2 linked regions of the Kluyveromyces lactis genome follow. The protein of the gene in region 1 binds, or shares a complex with, the protein of each later gene. Links are inferred from orthologs where the notes say so. Each region holds a gene or a part of one and is shown on either strand. Other genes may lie near its edges.

Region 1 (4,107 bases):
ATTATGTTAGCTACAGTGGGCTTGTTGCTTTTTGTTTCGTAAGTTATGATATTTAAGATGAATCTTATAAAGGTAAAGTCTAAGTAATGGGCCGTGTGCATTTTATACGTGCACCGTATGCGTAAATAAAAGTCATTAAAAGTTAGAAGTCCTTAGCGAGACTGAGTCTTTTCCATAGAGCTTAGGTCCATCTCGATGTCATTCAACTTAGAATCGATATTGTCTATGGACATACCAATAAGTTTTCTGAACTTTGATATTTTACTATCTGAAACCAGTTGATCTCTAGCGTATTTGATATTCCTAATCATTTGTCTTCTCTTGAACTGCTTGTAACACAATTCTACCATCAATTTTATGGATTCTTTCTTTTCGAATTCATTAGTAGCTTCCGTAGATGAGTCCTTTGAGAGACAGTTTTCCTCATCCTGTACTAATGTAGCAAGTGACAGCGCTTGCGACCGCTCCATATAGTTATCCAATTCAATGTTTTTCATCTTCAGCTGATTTTGGGCGGATCCCAACGTATTTCTATTATTTGAATCGGAGAGTGCCTTTTCTCTTGCGTTGGTGTGCTTCAGTTGGTTCTCGATCTCTTGGATTTGCTCTTCTTTCAGCTGTATACTATATTGAAGATTATCAAGATTATCTTCAATTATGTTGCTCAAAGATTGAGTAAGAGAACCCAACTGAGCAGTAGACTTGATGGTTGGAGATGATGATTTTTGTTCTTTTCGTACTCTTTGAGCATCAGGTCTACGTAATCTGTTCACAGGCTTCACTAATGTTGGTGGAGATGGTGGATGCAATTTAATTGCTGGAGTTAAGGATCCTTTCATTTTATCAATTGATAAGACATCGTTACGGTCGACTATGTTGTTTTTCCTAGTTGAAGTCTGTATACTATCCACTGTGGTGTCATTGAAGTCGTATTTGCTGGTGTCATCTATACGCTCTTCTTGACTGTTTCGAGGAGTGTTCGCCAAGAAAGTTGTCTTGGGTGGAGATTGTAGAATCTGGGCAGGAAGCGTTGGTTGAAATATATTTGGAACTGTGAAACGAGACAGTATCATAGATACTGTCTGATTTTCACCGTTAAGAATATCTGGTGACGCGCCGAAATATACTAATTTCTGGCATAAATCAACGTTCTTATTGAGGGCTGCTAAATGTAAAGGGGTATTTCCCAATGTATCTTGGTGATTGAGTGACATTCGCAGCAGTTTCTCATCCTCCTTGGCAAGTGTATCCAATATAGTGTCCATATAATACTCTATGACATGAGGTTCTTTGGACCTGTTTACTGTCAGCTCGACTAGGTAGTGCAAGGGTAATCTATGATTTGCATCTGGTGTTACTAGACATGGATTTAACATAGATATTATTTGTTGGAAAGAAACGGCTTTGTAACAATTGTTGTAAAAGACTGATTTTGTCAAACAATTGAAGCCCTTATCATTACAACGGAGAAGATCTGCGTCTTGGACTAGTAGTACTCTAATCAATGGAATGTTTGACATAGCGACAGCCCAATGTAAAGACGTATGTCCTTGGTCATCGATTAAGAAGTTTATGTCCAAATTGGATGGAGGCCTATAAAGTGCTTCGGGTAGCGTAGGTTCCACGGAATCGTATTCTGAAGATAAAACCTCCAAAATGAGTTCCTTATAATATTCTGTGGACACACCGTTCTTATCATGAGCTGATGAGAGTGGAGTTGGTGATTCTGATGAGCTAGACGAAGCTTTATCGTTGGAGGAGAAAACTTCCATTGAGGATCCTGTGGATGTAACGTTTGAGATCATAGACCCAGAAGAATGCCCCATATTATTACTGCCAGCATTGCCCTGCGTCATTTGTTTTAGTATTTTCATGTTATGCTGAGATTTCATGTTAGAGTTGACTGGCACTGGAGCCACGTTGTTTGTAACAGGTACCATTTGTTGGAACTGGTGTGTTTGTGGGTATGGATAAAATTGCAAAGGTTTCTGAGTAGTTTGGTATTTGATTGGATGGTTTGCTTGAGAAATAATATCAGGATTCACCTTACTGACCGGTACCATTGGAGTATCTTGTTCAGAAGCCAAATTAGGAAGCTTTTCAGTACTTTGGTTACTATTTTGACTCTGATGATGATGTTGCTGTTGAGGTGTTTGAAACATAACATTGTGTAAGGGGGACGGTTGAACTGGTTTATCCTTTTTCCCAGATCTCCTTATAGATTTTTTCTTCATTGGGGTCTTTGCATTCTTCTTTGGTGTTTTCTTATAAGCTGATGGTGATGTAATCCTTGCATTCGGGTCCAATTTCTTGATCTGAGATACTTTTGATCTTCTAGGAGGCATATCATTTGGATCAGGAATAAATTCTACAATCCTTTTGACAACCTTATTGTTAATATTGTATTTTTCCACCAGATATTTAGTCGATTCCCAGGGTATCCAGGTCCCCTGGAATCGTCCATAACCACCCTGAATCTTTTCATGTTTAATTTCATTGGCCTCTTTCTCCAAGATCTTGGTTCTCTGAGCCTTTGTAAACGAACCGGCTTTGAAAACTTGCGTTATGTTCAACCAATTATCGTTGCATCTTCTCATGATAAGGCATGGAGGTTTATCTTTGGTATAACATTCATATACATCAACGCCCGCGTATGTAGCAACTTCAATGAAAGTTTCCGATTCGCTGTCATAACCACTTGTCTCCGCCATAGTAGGTTCCTCACTGATTTTCTTTAAACTCCCATCGATCTGCCTTTCATCGATCATCGAAGAGGATGCTCCCGTGGATGAAGAAGAATTATTGGTAGCACCACTATTAGCTCCTAATAAATTAGAATTGAACGGTTTCAAAAGTGTATCATTCTCAGAATGATGATGAGTGCCCATGTGCATTTGAAGGATAGATTCCTTGTCAAAAACGTTGCCGCTATGATGCGACAAGTGTTGTTCCATAATTACACGAAAGAAATAAATGCACACGAAATCCTAATTGTTTTAGACAAAACAAAGCAAAGAAAAGCACGCCAGAGTCAACAAAGCGTTTCGAGTCGAGTGTCACCTTCTGCTGCTGCTTCTGCTTCTGCTCCTGGCAATGTGATCTCAAGCTCGCTCACTTTGTAAAATTCAACGTAAAATATACCACGCAGTTACGGTTATTCTAGCTTTTCCACCAGTGCCCAAAAATGTATCCAGATATCGGAGTAGCAGACCAAATCAATCTCAACTGGAATGCTCTGATATTTAGCTAAGTTCACGTAGCCTACAGACACTGTTAATAACAAAGGTATACACAAATCATAAATGACATTGTAAAGTGCGTGAGAAAGTCTGCTTTCAAAAGATTATAATCTTTATTTTAAACTGTGATCAAATCTCTTTACCCAATTGGGAAAAGAAAGATTAGATGCCTCACCAAAAAAAAAATCTCAGATCTCACATTTCAAACCTCACTCCAGTGTGTTCCCATATTCAAAGCTGAGGCAACCTTTCAAAACGCCTAGAAGGGTCCGTATGACACGAAGGAGTAGGGGGGCAGAAACAGTCTTAAAAGTGAAAAAATAAGAGAAAAATCAATAATCAGATTATATTCACGTGTCAGTATTACCCGGGACACTCACGTGATTCGAAACTTTTAAGTGTTACCCGGTAAATGAATTTTATGAAATGTCGAGAATGCTTTTTCCAGCTCAATGAAATTTGGAAAAACTGAAGTTATATTGTAATTGGAATTTAAATATTGTCAATGCAATTGTATGCATTTGGTTCGTCCTACTAGGGAGTGTTACATAACTCAAACTACAGATACGCAGATAAGCAACAAAGTCTAATTCATACTTTTTTCCCTCACATTTTTCCTTCTCCAGACAGACAGAGTCCTAATTTTTTGGTATATTGTATATTGTTCCGGCCCCACCCTTTCCTACGATTAAGTTACTACGGTTTGAGATACCTAAAGAAATACGACAGCACGGGCACACTATAATTGGTAAAACAGATCAATAAGTTATAACATAAAATGCTTCCATTATATTTATTGACCAATGCAAAGGGTCAAACAATGCATGTTGAACTAAAAAATGGAGAAACTGTGGAAGGTACGCTATCT
Region 2 (4,040 bases), on another chromosome or scaffold:
GCAAATTGACAGTGATGAAGCTTCAAAAGAACAAACTCTTTCCTCTTTGACTACAAGGGGGGTAGATTACAAAGAATTACAGCATGTATTGTCCAATCACTTAGCATTCTCTAACATTCAACAAGTGCCACTCTTTCAATTGCAGGATGTTAACTCTGTTGTCTCGAAGTTAAGCCGCACAGAACTGCGCGCTATTTTGAATGACGAACAATGTATCGGAGTAATTTACCGTACAGGAAAAGATGCCGCAGGAAAGCCACTGGATGAAGAATACTACTATGATGCAGAAAATGATCCTGACGATGACAGAAGACAGCTGGTAGCATCACTCAAGGGTGGCAGATCTGGTTTAAGATCATGCAGGAGAGTGCATAAACAGTATTTCTGGAAGAAACCAACTAAATAATCTAAAAATTCTGCTCGACTTGCTTTTTAACACAAGGCGTCGAAGAAACAAATATATACATAGGCAATAAATGTAATAGAAAAAAAAGGTTCATCGTATTTTATAGGTAAAAGTCCACTAAAATTACAACAGCTTGCGTAAACTGTTTAGTTAGAAATAAAAGTACAACAAGAGTTATTTCCAAATAGGTTACCATCAATTGGTATTTATTCGGCGGCACTCTCTAAAAAGTTGTTCACCTCGTCTGTATCTATATCTTCAGGATCTTCATTAGATATAGCTTGCAAAAGACCGTCAAGCATTGAGTCAACCTTCTCTTCATCTATCTTCAAGCAGAGAGACAAGACTTTTCTGAATTTAGATTCTAAATTCTTCTGCTTGTCTTTGATAGTCTGTAAAGTTGAGTCTAAATGCAATTCGTTTCTATTGTACGCTTTGATTCTTGCTTTAAGAATTTTGGGATGTGGGATTTCTGCTCTGGAAGGGAAGTTATCGTATATTTCATGAACAAGTTGTGATAAATTGCAATGTTTGAGGAATAGTTCAAAATCATTGTTATATTCGTCTTTGATCTTTTCCTCAAACTTTGTGTAAACGTAAGAGATTCTGAAAGGCTCATCAGCATCGAATGCAATATCGGCTGAGTTCAGACCTTCTTCTTGGACATCATCCAGTGATAGTCCTAATTCTCTAGAAGCAAGTTGGAAATTTTGATCTTCTTCAGCGATAGTGTTTTCCACATTGTTCAGTCTGTCGGACAACAGATTATATTCATCTTGGATTTGCTTTGCCTTAGCCAATCTATCCCGTGCATTAGCCAACGCTTCTCTCTTTATGTTGAGTGTATCGAGGAGCTCCTTCATCTTCCCATTATGTTGTTTAATTTCATCACCATAATCATTCGATATTTTTGAGAGGAGTGATTTTATATTTGTGATTAACGATGTAGACTCAGCCATCGGATCCAACGAAGTTTCATGAGTTTTGGTAGGTGTGGCCATAAGATTTTTTGTATTCGATTGAAAACGGGGTTGAGTACCTGCACCAAAATCCACAGGGCACAATCCGGAATTGTTTGCAATATTAGGATCAGCACCATAATCCAACAATGCTTCGACAATGGCAACGTTTCCAAGCCTGGCGGCAATATTTAAACAGGTATCACCATTAGAATCTCTAGCATTGAGTAAATGAGTGATAACCCATTGAAGATCGATATCTTCTAGTAGCACGCAATGCGATTCTTTAGTTCTGCTTTGCTTTTTAACTATCCAACCCATCAAAATATCGAGGTAATACTTAGCCGCTGCATTACAACCAGGCATACCAGAAGTAATCACAATATGATGAAGAACGGTTCTATCCATGTCATCAACCATTACGATACAAGGGTACAAGTAGTCCAACAGTATCTCGAATGTACCAGAATCGTAATTGTTTACCGACTTCACAGATTTTACAAGCACTGATTCACCGGACTTATCGCCGATTCTTCTATCACTGCCAAAGACAATGAGCTGTTTGAGAAGGTCTAGATTGGCTATGGAACACAGCCAATGCAAGGAAGTGTTTCCATGTTCATCAATTGGGATGTTAAAATTTAGTGGAACGTTTGGGAATTGTGTGTCCAGTTCTTGTACCTGCTGGGTTAAGCTGACCGATGGGTAACCTTCTGCAACGTTCAAATTCGTAGTTTCGGGGAAAAGAATACGCTGAAGTAAGGTCTCTAACTTCGCACGTTCATCATTTGAGTAATTACTAACTGGAGGCAGAGTTTTCTGTAACGTAGAGACCGTAGGTAAATCATGTTGGAAAACCGGGATCTTTGAAACAGATTTGGTTTGATGCCTCTTCGTAGGAGAATCGGGAAGATCTAGAAGCTCATGTTTAACAGTGTCTGGCTCACCACCACTGATTCTAGAAGTGGTTCCATTTGTAATTGTTGCAGGCCTGAAATTACTTCCTTCGGCAGTAACATTCCCATCATTTTTATTCGAGCTGTTGTTTCCGTTATTTGTATTTTCAGTACCACCATTCTCCATTGTGTGGTTGTCCGTCTTTCTACCATTATTCTCAGGAGTCTTCTGACCATCGTCTTCAACGCCATTGTGATTAGCTTCATTATCATCGTCATGGTCCGTCAAATTTTCCGAACCAGAATCATCTTTAATTTGCAGCAAATCCCATAACTCATGTGCTTTTTGTAAAGTGATCCATCGGGTGCCAGACCTATCAGTGTCTATAAGTATATTGAATTGAGAAGTGACCATATCATCGAGATTCTCAACCAATGGGTCATCGCGATGGAAATTGAAACTTGATAAGTTGGTCAACAAAGGGATAAATTGGTCCAGACAGACATATCCGTCTTGAAGTCGCTGCTGGAAAGTAATACGGTCTCCCTTATGCACCTTAAAAATAGGCCTGCTCATCGTCCACTTTATACCGTTAAATTGTGAAGGATCCCAGAACAATTACTAGTACAGTCAACGTTGTTCGTTGTTTAGAGTTCTCAATTGTGAAATTAGTACGATGTTCATAATTTGGTTAACATTCAAAAATCAATAAATTTTCTCCATTTGGCGTTTGTATATTATATTATCATAATATCGACATATTGGGATAGGGAATGAATGAGGTATCCAGGGGACTGAGACGTGCTCATACAGCCCAAAAGACTTTCGTTCACTATACTTGATACATTATGAGCAATGTAGCGCAGTACAAGAGAGTCATTAAACTCTCTAAAGAATTGTCAACTCTTCCTGTTATATCTTACTACTTAAAACTATATGCGGCAGAGCTAATATTGAATGAGAAGGAGCGAGACGGGGAAGCGACAGAGTTGGTCATGTCATTATTAGACGATGTAGAGAGCTTTAAAAATGAGGTGAATGATGAAGGTACTAAGATCCTGTTGAATGAAAAAGACAAAGCATTGGCTTTTGTGTTAAATCTTGCGATGTCAATCTATAACGGAATCTTAGTACAAATACAAGATGATAGGATTAATGACGATATAGGAAAGGGGCTATGGTGCTGTATAGATTTGTTTCAATGCTGTAAACATATATGGGCGGATAGTATGGATGCCATTGTAAAAGAGCAATGCGATAAAAGGATCAAACATTCCAAATACTATCTTATGAAATTGAAAAGGGGACAATTACAAAGCGACAAGAAGCCCCAAGAAACCACATCAGAACCTACAAATAGTAACCCACTAAGCGAAGTGGAAGATGAAATCCCAAATTTTGTCGAGGATCTAGAGGATCAGCCGCTATTCGAAGAGCCAAAAGATTCGGAAATAGCACAGCAGCATGGTCCGTCTCCCTCTTTGAAGGTAGATGAATCCGTTGAGAAGTTAAAGCAGCTTGAGTCGCCAGAAGTTCCAATAAAGTTGCTAACGCCAGAACCGATCAAATTAGAATCACCTAAACCGGCAGTGAGACATGATGTTGCTACTTTGAAAGAAATAATGTCAAGGGAGCACAGGATTCAAAAAGCACAACGAAGTGCTAAGTATGCAATAAGCGCTCTAAACTATGACGACATAGTAACTGCAAAAGCCGAGTTACTGCAAGCTTTTAAGTTGCTTGAAGACTTGACGCCTGAATAATATTCCAATGCGTCT

What was found. Proteins that work in one complex are often made in the same cells at the same time.
Region 2: SWI4 (region 1) and SWI6 share a complex: the UniProt entries of both Saccharomyces cerevisiae proteins name them as parts of the transcription complex. The link is inferred for Kluyveromyces lactis from reciprocal best matches to the Saccharomyces cerevisiae genes SWI4 and SWI6.

Annotation. Positions count from the first base shown.
Region 1 is NC_006041.1:1,852,370-1,856,476, forward strand, and holds SWI4 (SBF complex DNA-binding subunit SWI4), read right to left. Parts: upstream 2,955-4,107; coding exon 153-2,954; downstream 1-152. Other genes in the region: U6 snRNA complex subunit LSM4, read left to right, coding at 4,018-4,107. UniProt on the Saccharomyces cerevisiae protein: Part of a complex involved in cell-cycle-dependent transcription. SWI4 and SWI6 are required for formation of the cell-cycle box factor-DNA complex. The repeated element in the upstream region of HO (5'-CACGAAAA-3') is called the cell cycle box (CCB).
Region 2 is NC_006039.1:143,105-147,144, reverse strand, and holds SWI6 (transcriptional regulator SWI6), read right to left. Parts: upstream 2,839-4,040; coding exon 613-2,838; downstream 1-612. Other genes in the region: TOS4 (Tos4p), read left to right, coding at 1-406; VTA1 (Vta1p), read left to right, coding at 3,111-4,025. UniProt on the Saccharomyces cerevisiae protein: Part of a complex involved in cell-cycle-dependent transcription. SWI4 and SWI6 are required for formation of the cell-cycle box factor-DNA complex. The repeated element in the upstream region of HO (5'-CACGAAAA-3') is called the cell cycle box (CCB).